Kluyveromyces lactis: one gene and its partners. The protein of the gene in region 1 purifies or fractionates together with the protein of each later gene. This does not show direct contact. Links are inferred from orthologs where the notes say so. Each region holds a gene or a part of one and is shown on either strand. Other genes may lie near its edges.

Evidence for each region.
Region 2: the proteins of QCR8 (region 1) and RCF2 purify together in Saccharomyces cerevisiae (affinity purification with mass spectrometry; 3 studies listed by BioGRID, with this or other methods). This does not show direct contact. The link is inferred for Kluyveromyces lactis from reciprocal best matches to the Saccharomyces cerevisiae genes QCR8 and RCF2.
Region 3: the proteins of QCR8 (region 1) and QCR2 purify together in Saccharomyces cerevisiae (affinity purification with mass spectrometry; 4 studies listed by BioGRID, with this or other methods). This does not show direct contact. The link is inferred for Kluyveromyces lactis from reciprocal best matches to the Saccharomyces cerevisiae genes QCR8 and QCR2.
Region 4: the proteins of QCR8 (region 1) and COX13 purify together in Saccharomyces cerevisiae (affinity purification with mass spectrometry; 3 studies listed by BioGRID, with this or other methods). This does not show direct contact. The link is inferred for Kluyveromyces lactis from reciprocal best matches to the Saccharomyces cerevisiae genes QCR8 and COX13.

What each region holds. Positions count from the first base shown.
Region 1 is NC_006037.1:609,726-611,848, forward strand, and holds QCR8 (ubiquinol--cytochrome-c reductase subunit 8), read left to right. Parts: upstream 1-1,329; coding exon 1,330-1,614; downstream 1,615-2,123. Other genes in the region: ERG20 (bifunctional (2E,6E)-farnesyl diphosphate synthase/dimethylallyltranstransferase), read left to right, coding at 1-1,034. UniProt on the Saccharomyces cerevisiae protein: Component of the ubiquinol-cytochrome c oxidoreductase, a multisubunit transmembrane complex that is part of the mitochondrial electron transport chain which drives oxidative phosphorylation.
Region 2 is NC_006042.1:573,855-576,290, forward strand, and holds RCF2 (Rcf2p), read right to left. Parts: upstream 1,233-2,436; coding exon 567-1,232; downstream 1-566. UniProt on the Saccharomyces cerevisiae protein: Assembly factor that plays a role in the assembly of the respiratory chain supercomplexes (SCs) composed of ubiquinol-cytochrome c oxidoreductase (cytochrome b-c1 complex, complex III, CIII) and cytochrome c oxidase (complex IV, CIV).
Region 3 is NC_006038.1:323,255-326,133, forward strand, and holds QCR2 (ubiquinol--cytochrome-c reductase subunit 2), read left to right. Parts: upstream 1-1,281; coding exon 1,282-2,364; downstream 2,365-2,879. Other genes in the region: RPC82 (DNA-directed RNA polymerase III subunit C82), read right to left, coding at 1-395. UniProt on the Saccharomyces cerevisiae protein: Component of the ubiquinol-cytochrome c oxidoreductase, a multisubunit transmembrane complex that is part of the mitochondrial electron transport chain which drives oxidative phosphorylation.
Region 4 is NC_006042.1:844,125-846,241, forward strand, and holds COX13 (cytochrome c oxidase subunit VIa), read right to left. Parts: upstream 961-2,117; coding exon 577-960; downstream 1-576. Other genes in the region: IME4 (mRNA (N6-adenosine)-methyltransferase), read right to left, coding at 2,047-2,117. UniProt on the Saccharomyces cerevisiae protein: Component of the cytochrome c oxidase, the last enzyme in the mitochondrial electron transport chain which drives oxidative phosphorylation.

The DNA of each region.
Region 1 (2,123 bases):
CCCAGTTTTTGGAAGTGTTCCCATCATTAGTACAAGAGCTTAGAGACATCTTGGCCGGGTACGGTATGCCCGAAGAAGCCATCGAATGGTACGAAAAATCATTGAACTACAACACCCCAGGTGGTAAGTTGAACCGTGGTCTTTCTGTCGTTGACACATACGCGCTTTTGAAAGGTTACAAGTCAGTGAGCGAACTATCTGCAGAAGAGTACAAGAAGGTTGCCATCCTTGGTTGGTGTATTGAACTGTTGCAAGCGTACTTCTTGGTTGCTGATGACATGATGGACCAATCGATCACAAGAAGAGGACAACCATGTTGGTACAAAGTGGAAAACGTCGGCGACATTGCGATCAACGATGCATTCATGTTGGAAGGTGCCATCTACTGTCTGTTGAAGAAACACTTCAGAACAGAGCCATACTACGTCGATCTATTGGAATTGTTCCATGACGTTACTTTTCAAACCGAATTGGGTCAGTTGTTGGATTTGATCACTGCACCAGAGGACAAAGTCGACTTATCCAAGTTCTCTTTGGAAAAGCATTCCTTCATCGTTATCTTCAAGACTGCATACTACTCTTTCTACTTAGCAGTGGCACTGGCCATGTTTGCTGCCGGTATTACCGACTCAAAGGACTTGAAACAGGCCAGCGACGTATTGATCCCATTGGGAGAATATTTCCAAATCCAAGACGATTTCTTGGATTGTTTCGGTAAACCAGAAGATATCGGTAAGATTGGTACCGATATCCAAGACAACAAATGTTCTTGGGTCATCAACGTTGCATTGAAGAATGCTACAAAAGAACAAAGAGATATCTTGGACGAAAACTACGGTAGAAAGGATTCTGAAAAGGAACAAAAATGTAGAGCTGTATTCAACGAATTGAACATCCAAGACATCTACCACAAGTACGAAGAAGAAACCGCTTCCAACTTAAGAGAGAAAATCGCTAACATCGACGAATCCCGTGGGTTCAAGGCCGAAGTTCTAACCTTGTTCTTGAACAAAATATACCACAGAAAGAAGTAGGTAAAGCATATATTATCTAACCATTTTAGATCACGTGCAACTAAATAAATAAAAGTAAGTTTCACTACCAGTATCACTGTATACGAACCAATAATACTACGTTTCGGCCTTTTCGCTTCTAAAAGACGAAGTCTTGAAAATCTTCCAGCGAGGGAAAAAGCTTTATATATAAGAAATAAGCTTTAAACCTCTACTTATTCAGATATTCAAATGATGCAAAGATGGAAAACTATTATACATAGTTTAGTCTCTGACTCAGTATCCGCAAGACCAAGAATTAAAATATTAAGACGAAATGGGTGGTCCACATGCTAAGGCTTACATGGGCTGGTGGGGTAGTATAGGTTCCCCAGCCCAAAAGGGTATTACTACATACACTGTTTCTCCATATGCTCAAAAGCCATTGAACAACATCTTCCACAACGCTGTTTTTAACACATTTAGAAGAGTTAAGAGCCAAATTTTGTACATGGCTCTTCCAGCTGCTTTGTACTGGGCTTGGTGGGTCAACTGCAGAGACTACAACGCTTACTTGTACACTAAGGCCGGTAGAGAAGAATTAGAAAGAGTTAACGTTTAAACAATGTTATTACAACACTAGACTAGTTCCTTTCTTTCTTCTGTCCAGGTTTAAAAGCTTACATGGAAAAAGAGGTGCGGCAGCACCCTTTTGACACTTTTATCAACATTCAAGATATATTTCTCACGTCACAAGAACATTTTTTATCATGTCAGGCCATCGAAAAGAGTTTCAGTATTATTAGATACTATTGAAAAGGAGAGAGCGAGTGGAAGTTCACATCCTCGGTTTTTAATTCTCTCTTTTCGGGTTTGGCTCAGTACCGTATTTATTGGAGGTTTTCATCAAGTGGTTACTCCCCTCAAATATATCTTCTATACTTCACTGTTTATACGAATTTGAAAAACTACTTTATTATGAATACTTACATCTGCGTGTCAAGGGCGTGATCGTCGTGCTCATATGTCGACGATCGGTGTGCTTGCCTGTTTTACATGTATATATATATATAGATGGATAAGTTTCTCCACTAATGAAAGTCACGTGACGTTATTACTTTCCCCCCGTAA
Region 2 (2,436 bases), on another chromosome or scaffold:
GAAAGGATTTGTACGCTCTATCTAAAACAAAGCTGCATTGAGTGAGCAAGTTGCTCTATTAGAAATGAAAAGATTACAAGCAATTTTGGTCCGCATTTTTGATAATTTATGAAGGTTCTTGATTGGTTCAAAAAAGTAGTGGTATAATGTTATGAAAGCCGTACCAGCCGTCTCTATTGAAAAAAAATTGAAATAAGCTGACATTAAAAAACAACCATAACAGGTAAGGCAGCACGCCCGCATTTTTGATCTCGTGGATGGTTGCGCCACGATGCAATGAAACTGTTACAATAATCAATGATAAAAAATAGATCTTCTTTTATTAACTTGTCATGACATAGAATAATGTGAGACAAAATAACTCACCATGAAAGGTAGATTTGGTACGTTAGATCTGCTTCATTTCATTTCGTACAAGGCAGTGCTGTAAAAAAAAAACAGTTAATAGTATATGGGTCAAAATTATTCACAAGAAGGATGTGATGAGGGTGAAAATAGAATTGTACGCCTTGTAGTGTGAAGGCAATATCGTATTTCACCTCAGCTAGATTGAATTCTTCAAAAATTCAATCATATTTAAAAATCTTGGCCTTAACTCTGTCTTCGTTACTTCTGTAACCAGCGGTTGCAGCCATCTCTTCTTCCTTCTCAGCATGCTCCAAAGCCGCTTGCCAACGACGGTCTCTAGCCTCCTTCTTTTGATCTGGATGTAGCTTTTCCTCGTACATAGATAAACCAATTGAGGCTAGTAACAAAATCACAGTTATACCTTGAGCATACATTCTTGCCTGCACAGCCTTTTGGGCTTTGGTCATGTATAAGTCCCTATCAACCAATTTCCAGGATCCATACAAGGAAGCAGCCCATGCACCAACAATGATCTTGTACTTATTGTTGGACAAACCTTCGACCAATTTTTCGCTCATAGGCAGGTTCTTCCATCTGTTATGTTCAGCAAGAATATCACTGGACGAAGAGTCACCATACATTTTCTTATCAAAACTGTTAGAAGATTCTTCAGCGACAATAGAAGCCAAAAGAGTTGGAGGCGTGATGAATAAAGCAGTCTTGACAGACCATGTCATAGCCTTTGGATTGAATTTAGGATAACGATGGGGTAAAAACCTGAACATAGCTGCAGAAATTAACAGACCTGCAGCTGCACCTTTAACACCACCCATCAGGGTGTAGTGACGATGAGCATCAATTTCTTCTCTTGTTAAAATCTTCATCTTGCTGTGCTGGTTTTTTCGTCTTTCAGTTACTTATCTCTTAAGCTAACTTTTGATTCCCTTAGTTTAAATAAGGTGATAAATATCGAATTAATACTGGAACAAAATCCTAATATATCCCGATATTTATTTTAGCCAAGAGGATAAGCATTAACAAATTTTAACTGTCAAACGATATATATATATATAATTTGAAATGATTCTGTAAACGAATAAACCGAGAGAATGCTCTTCCTTATATACGATACTTTTAAATTCCCTCCCTGCCTTTGTTCCAATTATACTTTAATTTTGGTTCGATTTTACTTTTTTACTTTTTTCCTTCCCGTATGATAAATATTCTTTGTTCCTTTATTTCTTTTTCCTGCAATATCGTATACGATTTAGGATTTATGATTGTCCATGAGGCACTGCTACTGATGTTACGTAATTTTGGCAGTTAGCCAAACCCTATATCTCTCGTTCTTGTTGCCAGCCCATGAACAGGCTCAGCGTAACCTGTTCATTGCTATCAACGTATCAATGAACCATTCGATTGAAATTTCTTCCAAAGGTCAGACAAGTTTTTGTCTGAAAATAACTCCGTCAATTAGAAAGTGACTATGTTCATTACACTGATGTTCAAAATCAATCCATACTTTAGCGAAGCTAATACCTAAGTGGGACCAGCCGAACGAACTGTCCTACTCAGAAGGATTTGCGCGTGCATACGGAGATAGTGGTTTTAGTAGTTGTTACCTGAGAAGAAGCCGGTCGGAATTTGCCACGGTTGTGGCTCCACATTTCCTTGACACAAAGTTTCCTGTGATATGATTGGTCAGTCACACATGTTTAAAAAAAAAGGAAGAGCAGAGAATATGCATCGACTAACCCTAACAGCTGGAACCTACCAGATTCATCCAATAGAGTTACAGGATCTTCGAAAAGCTTCAGTTTTGGACCTAAGGCATCGGATCGTTCGGATAATATCCATTGCAATTAGTGCAGTGTTGCGTTCATTAGCCTGACCTTTTAATACAAGGGAGAGTGATTACCATTTTGAGAAATCGCCGAAATACTATTTTTCAGGTTTCTACTCTTAAGAAAAAGAGCTTAATATGTGGAAAGCCTTTGCTTTGAATATGGCCAGCAGAGTTTTGTACATCACTCTGTTTTGACGTAACCGATATGTATACTAGCTTGAGTCTCTACTGAAATACTTGTA
Region 3 (2,879 bases), on another chromosome or scaffold:
AACAAACCTTCTTCGTTAAAGTAGTAATAAAGGGTCTTACGACCAGAGAGTGAGGTTTCTTCCAAATATTGTACGCATCTTAATTGAATCAAACTGACCAAAACGGTTTTAATACTGGACAACGAAAGTTCTGGTATGAAAGAATGAATTTCTCTCGTGGAGAGTCTTCCTTTGTTGACCAACACGGATAGAACAGTACTGGCTCTTTCACCAAGATGGGATCTGGCAAGTTCAGAGTATAAAAACGAATCTGGGTTAAGAGTTCTCTGCTCTAATGAAGAGATATCGATTGGTTCTGGTGATGTGGATGTGGATGGTTCTGCGGCTGATACAACACTTGCACCACCATTTGGAACAGCCGCATCGGGGATCAGGGCAGCTTGGGCAGCACTCATGTCAGTGCTTGCAATAACAATTGTTTATTTTCCTACCTTTTCTACAGTCGAGCCACCTTGTTGCAGTAGTCATGCATGTATGCGATGAGATGAGATGAGATCAATTCAATTGATAGATTTTTTTTTTCTTTCAATACGAATGGATGGGTCTTTCAAGAAGATCGAAAGAAACAGGCAACATTATTGTAAGTCACGTGGTCACAACCACGTGACTTTTGTGTTTCTGTGTCACGTGACATCTCATCACTCACGAACCAATCATTTCTAAGAACCGTGTCCAACCATTTTTTCTTCAAATGGTTTACCAATACCCTTTCACAGTGCATTACGCGATTCCTGTCTGTTCCCTCTCACTCCCAGTACGTTCCGCTAAAACCCGATATCCCCTTCTTACTGTGACTCCAAGATGGTCTAAGCACGCTTCTCCTTTCTACAGAATCAGCTCGCTTCTTCTCTGATTCCTCTGTAGAGATCAGTCTTCACATCTCGAAATATCTTTTTTTTTTCAATTTTTTTTTTTTTTGTTAGTTATTGGATTTTATCGCATATAGCTTTATTCAATAGGTTCTTGAAAAATTTATAACAAAATATGACAATTCTACTTCAAAGTTTAGAGCTTTTTGTTTGAAGATTGGTTTTGATTACAGGTTTTGTAAAGATTTGTGATTGATATACTATTTTGATTACTTTGTTTTACTCGTTACTCTGTCAGTGTACTTTTTTTGCTCTGTTTCGATACTTATTTTGTGTGTGAGTAAATATTATTTGAGTTTGGACATTAAAGGAAAAGTAGAGGAAGACCTTTTGATTAACGCATAATTGATATTGATATTGATTGATATTCTGACTCCCAAAATTAAAAAGCCCATAAACATATAATATAAAGATGTTGTCCAGTAGATTACAATTTGCCCAGCAAACTGCTAGAAAATTCAGTATTTCCGCTAAAGACGGTTCCGGTAAACTATCCACTTTGGCTGTTAAGGTTCACGGTGGTTCTCGTTACGCCGACAAAGAAGGTATTGCCCACCTTTTGTCCAGATTCAACTTCCATAACACCGGTAACAAGTCTGCTTTGAGATTGGTTAGAGAAAGTGAATTGTTGGGTGGTAAGTTCGAATCCAGTGTTGACAGAGAATACATCACTTTGAAGGCTACTTTCTTGAAGGAAGATCTTCCATACTTCGTTAACGCTTTGGGTAACGTTTTGTACAAGACCAGTTTCAGACCCCACGAATTACCAGAATCTGTCTTGCCAGCTGCTAAGTACGACATTTCCGTTTCTGAAACTAACCCAATCAACAAGGCCGAAGACTTACTTTACAATGTCTCTTTCAGAAAGGACTTAGGTAACACAGTTCTATACAGAGGTGTCGAGAAGGTCACCTTGGATGATATCAAGGCTTATGCCAACAAGGTCTACACCAAGGAAAACATTGAAATTGTTGGTCAAGGTGTCAACGAAGCTGACTTGAAGAGATTTGTCAACGACTCTTTGATTGGTTCTTTACCAACTGGCTCCAAGTTGGCTGCTCAAGCTCAACCAAAGTTCTTCTCCGGTGAAGCCAGATTAAGTGCTCCAGGTGCCTCCGTTGCCGCTATCGCTGTTCCAGTTACTAAGGAACAGTTCGCTACCTACGAAGTCTTGGCTAAGTACCTAACCTCTGCTTTGTCCGAATTGTCTCCATTAATTGACTCAGCTAAGTTAGACAAGTACGCTAATGCCGGCTTGTTCTCTTTATACGTCAAGGGTGAGGATGCTTCTGTCGTTGCTGAAAACATAAAGAAGGTCGTTGATACCTTGAAGAAGGATGTCGACATTTCAGCTGCTAAGGAATACACTGCCTTGCAATTATCTTTGGAAAACGCTCCAATCGATGTCTCTAATGTCAAGAATGTCAAGTTGGACAAATTCTCTTACGCCGCTGTAGGTAACGTCGCTAAGCTACCTTTCGCTGATGAATTGTAAATTTCATCACAGTTAAAAATAACTCACAGATTTTAACCTTTCTCCTACTAGCCAAAGTTACACACATAGTACTTTAAAACTGAAAAAAAAACAACAAACAAACACACATATTCATGAGAGATGACAGAATCACATCACTGAAATGTTTAGAAACGATATTACATTTCTATTGTACATATTTTTTATTATCTTTTACCTTTCGTGGCTTTTGGAAACATTGCAACCTAAAAGAAACCAATAAAATTCAAAAACAAAACTCTCTAAGATTCAAAAGAACACCTTTAACCTTTGGAAAAACTGGTGATGTTAAAAGAGAACCCGTCAATATCTTAATCTTTTGAAATGTGCAGAAGCCACTGATCAAATTCAACAGTTCTGTTGATTCATACAATCCCCATCACTGCTCTTAAGAAAAACAATCAAACAGAGGTTGTGGTGATATTGCAAGAACGTTGGTTTAATACGTAGTGTGTCTTCTTGCCGAACCTATTTTTATTTTCACATATCATCTTAGA
Region 4 (2,117 bases), on another chromosome or scaffold:
TGTATATACGCTGTACCAGCGTATCACTTTTCGTTTTCCCCTTATTTTTTGTTCGGTTAACAATGGGGAACAATGTAAAGTTAAAGTTTTTGGAACGTAAAGTCAGTTTGTATTCATCATTCGTGAAAAAAAAGTAAGTATTGAGTTACTAAAGACGTTTGCCATAACGCTGAGCATATCGAAGTTGATGTACTGCTTGTCACAGATTCAGTACAATAGATATTGATAATGAAGAAACTTATATCTACTTATGATCATTGACACAGTGTGACGTGTTTTATTCTATTTTTCTAGGACTGAATTTACAATAAAGATAAAAAGTGTGTTTATTCTTCTTGAGTTAAATAATAATTATTTGTATGGTGGAAACTCCACTATAAAGTTTATCCATATGTTTGTTGTATTTTGAAGTATAATGCCAGATTAAACGGATGTTTGAATTCTTTTGAAGATAATTTGAGGATATTTGATAAAAGGTGTTTTAAAAGATAAAAAAACCCACAGGCAGGGGCTATCTTGATATTTCATTATGAATGGCCAAAGCCCAACAAGTTGAGATCATTTATCGAACTGTGTTTAATCGTGAGAGACGTGTCTGTTAATGACTGGGTTCCAGAACAAAGTCTTGTCACCGTCACCCCAGAAGAAAGGCTTTTGTCTTAAGTTTTGGAATTCGTAGTCTCTTGGCCATTCTTCATCTGGAACGTGCTTCAAATGTTCACGGTGCTCAGCGTGTTCAGCTTCAACGAAGTAGGTGTTGACAGCGGTCAGAGCAATAGCTGGAGCAGCAACAAATATGGAGATCTTAACCCACAAGTTAGAGGTTTGCTTAGCGTGCTCAGTACTGTGCTTCATGTAGTCCTTGTAAGCTTGGGCAGCAGCCAAATCTGGCTTACCGAAAGCTGGTTCCAAAGCATACTTTGGTAGAGTAGAAGCTCTTCTAATGGCTTGTTTGAACATTTTTGATTATATCTAGGGTCTGGCTTTTCGAAACAGAATATCCTTATGGAATTAATTCACCAAACACAGTTGACGTTAAATAGATATCAAACTCGAAATGAATGTAAAATGAATTGTAAACAGTAAGAAAACTAATCACAAAAATCTCTTTTAAAAAAGTACTTTGACTTACCAATAAAACCTTTTCTATTATGGAAAGAGTAGCTTTAATAACTTGAACTTTCCTAACTATTAAACAATTTTTTTTTTCCTACCTCCAAAATTTTCTAGCATCAACACAATCTCTCTCGCGATATTTCCATATCCCACTCCATATAAAAAACCAAAAATGGCACGACGGAGAAACTAGACAAAGATCATGCTTTTTCGATGTTGTAATTTCGGTATCACATTACACGGTATGAAAATGATTGGTTGCTGGTCACGAGAGACTTAAGTTCTGGTAATGGACACTGAGCATAAAAGGTTCCTATTCCTTGTTTAAATGGTGTTGCTGTCTCGCCGGGACTACAAACCCACAAGTAGCTCATACGATACCGTTCACACTGGCAACAGATTCAGAAGTACTTCCTACTTTATTTTCTGTTTCTGTTGCATCTCTTTATACATATTGACAAACAGTGTAATATTGACGTTCAGGAATTCAAGTCCGGGTAACAATATTTGTTTCACGGCCTGGCGGTAATTGATTTTGGGTTTTTAGCAAACCTGAGCCATCGCATGTCATTCTAGTAGCTGCTGCAGGGACTTGCCGGCTGGGGTTGGTGTAGTGGACAGAAACACCGTTCCTAATATATAGAATGCTAGATTAAGCTGAGAGCTTGTTGCATTGAATTCAAAAAACAAGCGCGTTGGCTAATAGAACGCCCGTAGGATCAGCCATGGTTATGGAAATCAAAAGATTGCCTATTGCTGCTTAAGTGTAGCACGAACTTGTGGGTAATGTAACGTTTGTAATTACAAGGGCGTATGACATAAATTAAAAAAAAGAAGAAAAGTAAGAAGGAACACATACAGACTCCTAATGGATACTGTGTATCGACAAATAAAAGCTAGGACATTTGAAGTAAAGAGAGTATTACATCTTTAGTTTGTCTTTGAATTCTTTGATTTTTCCATGAATCTTTCGTATTTCCTTTTCACATCCACTTCATGGA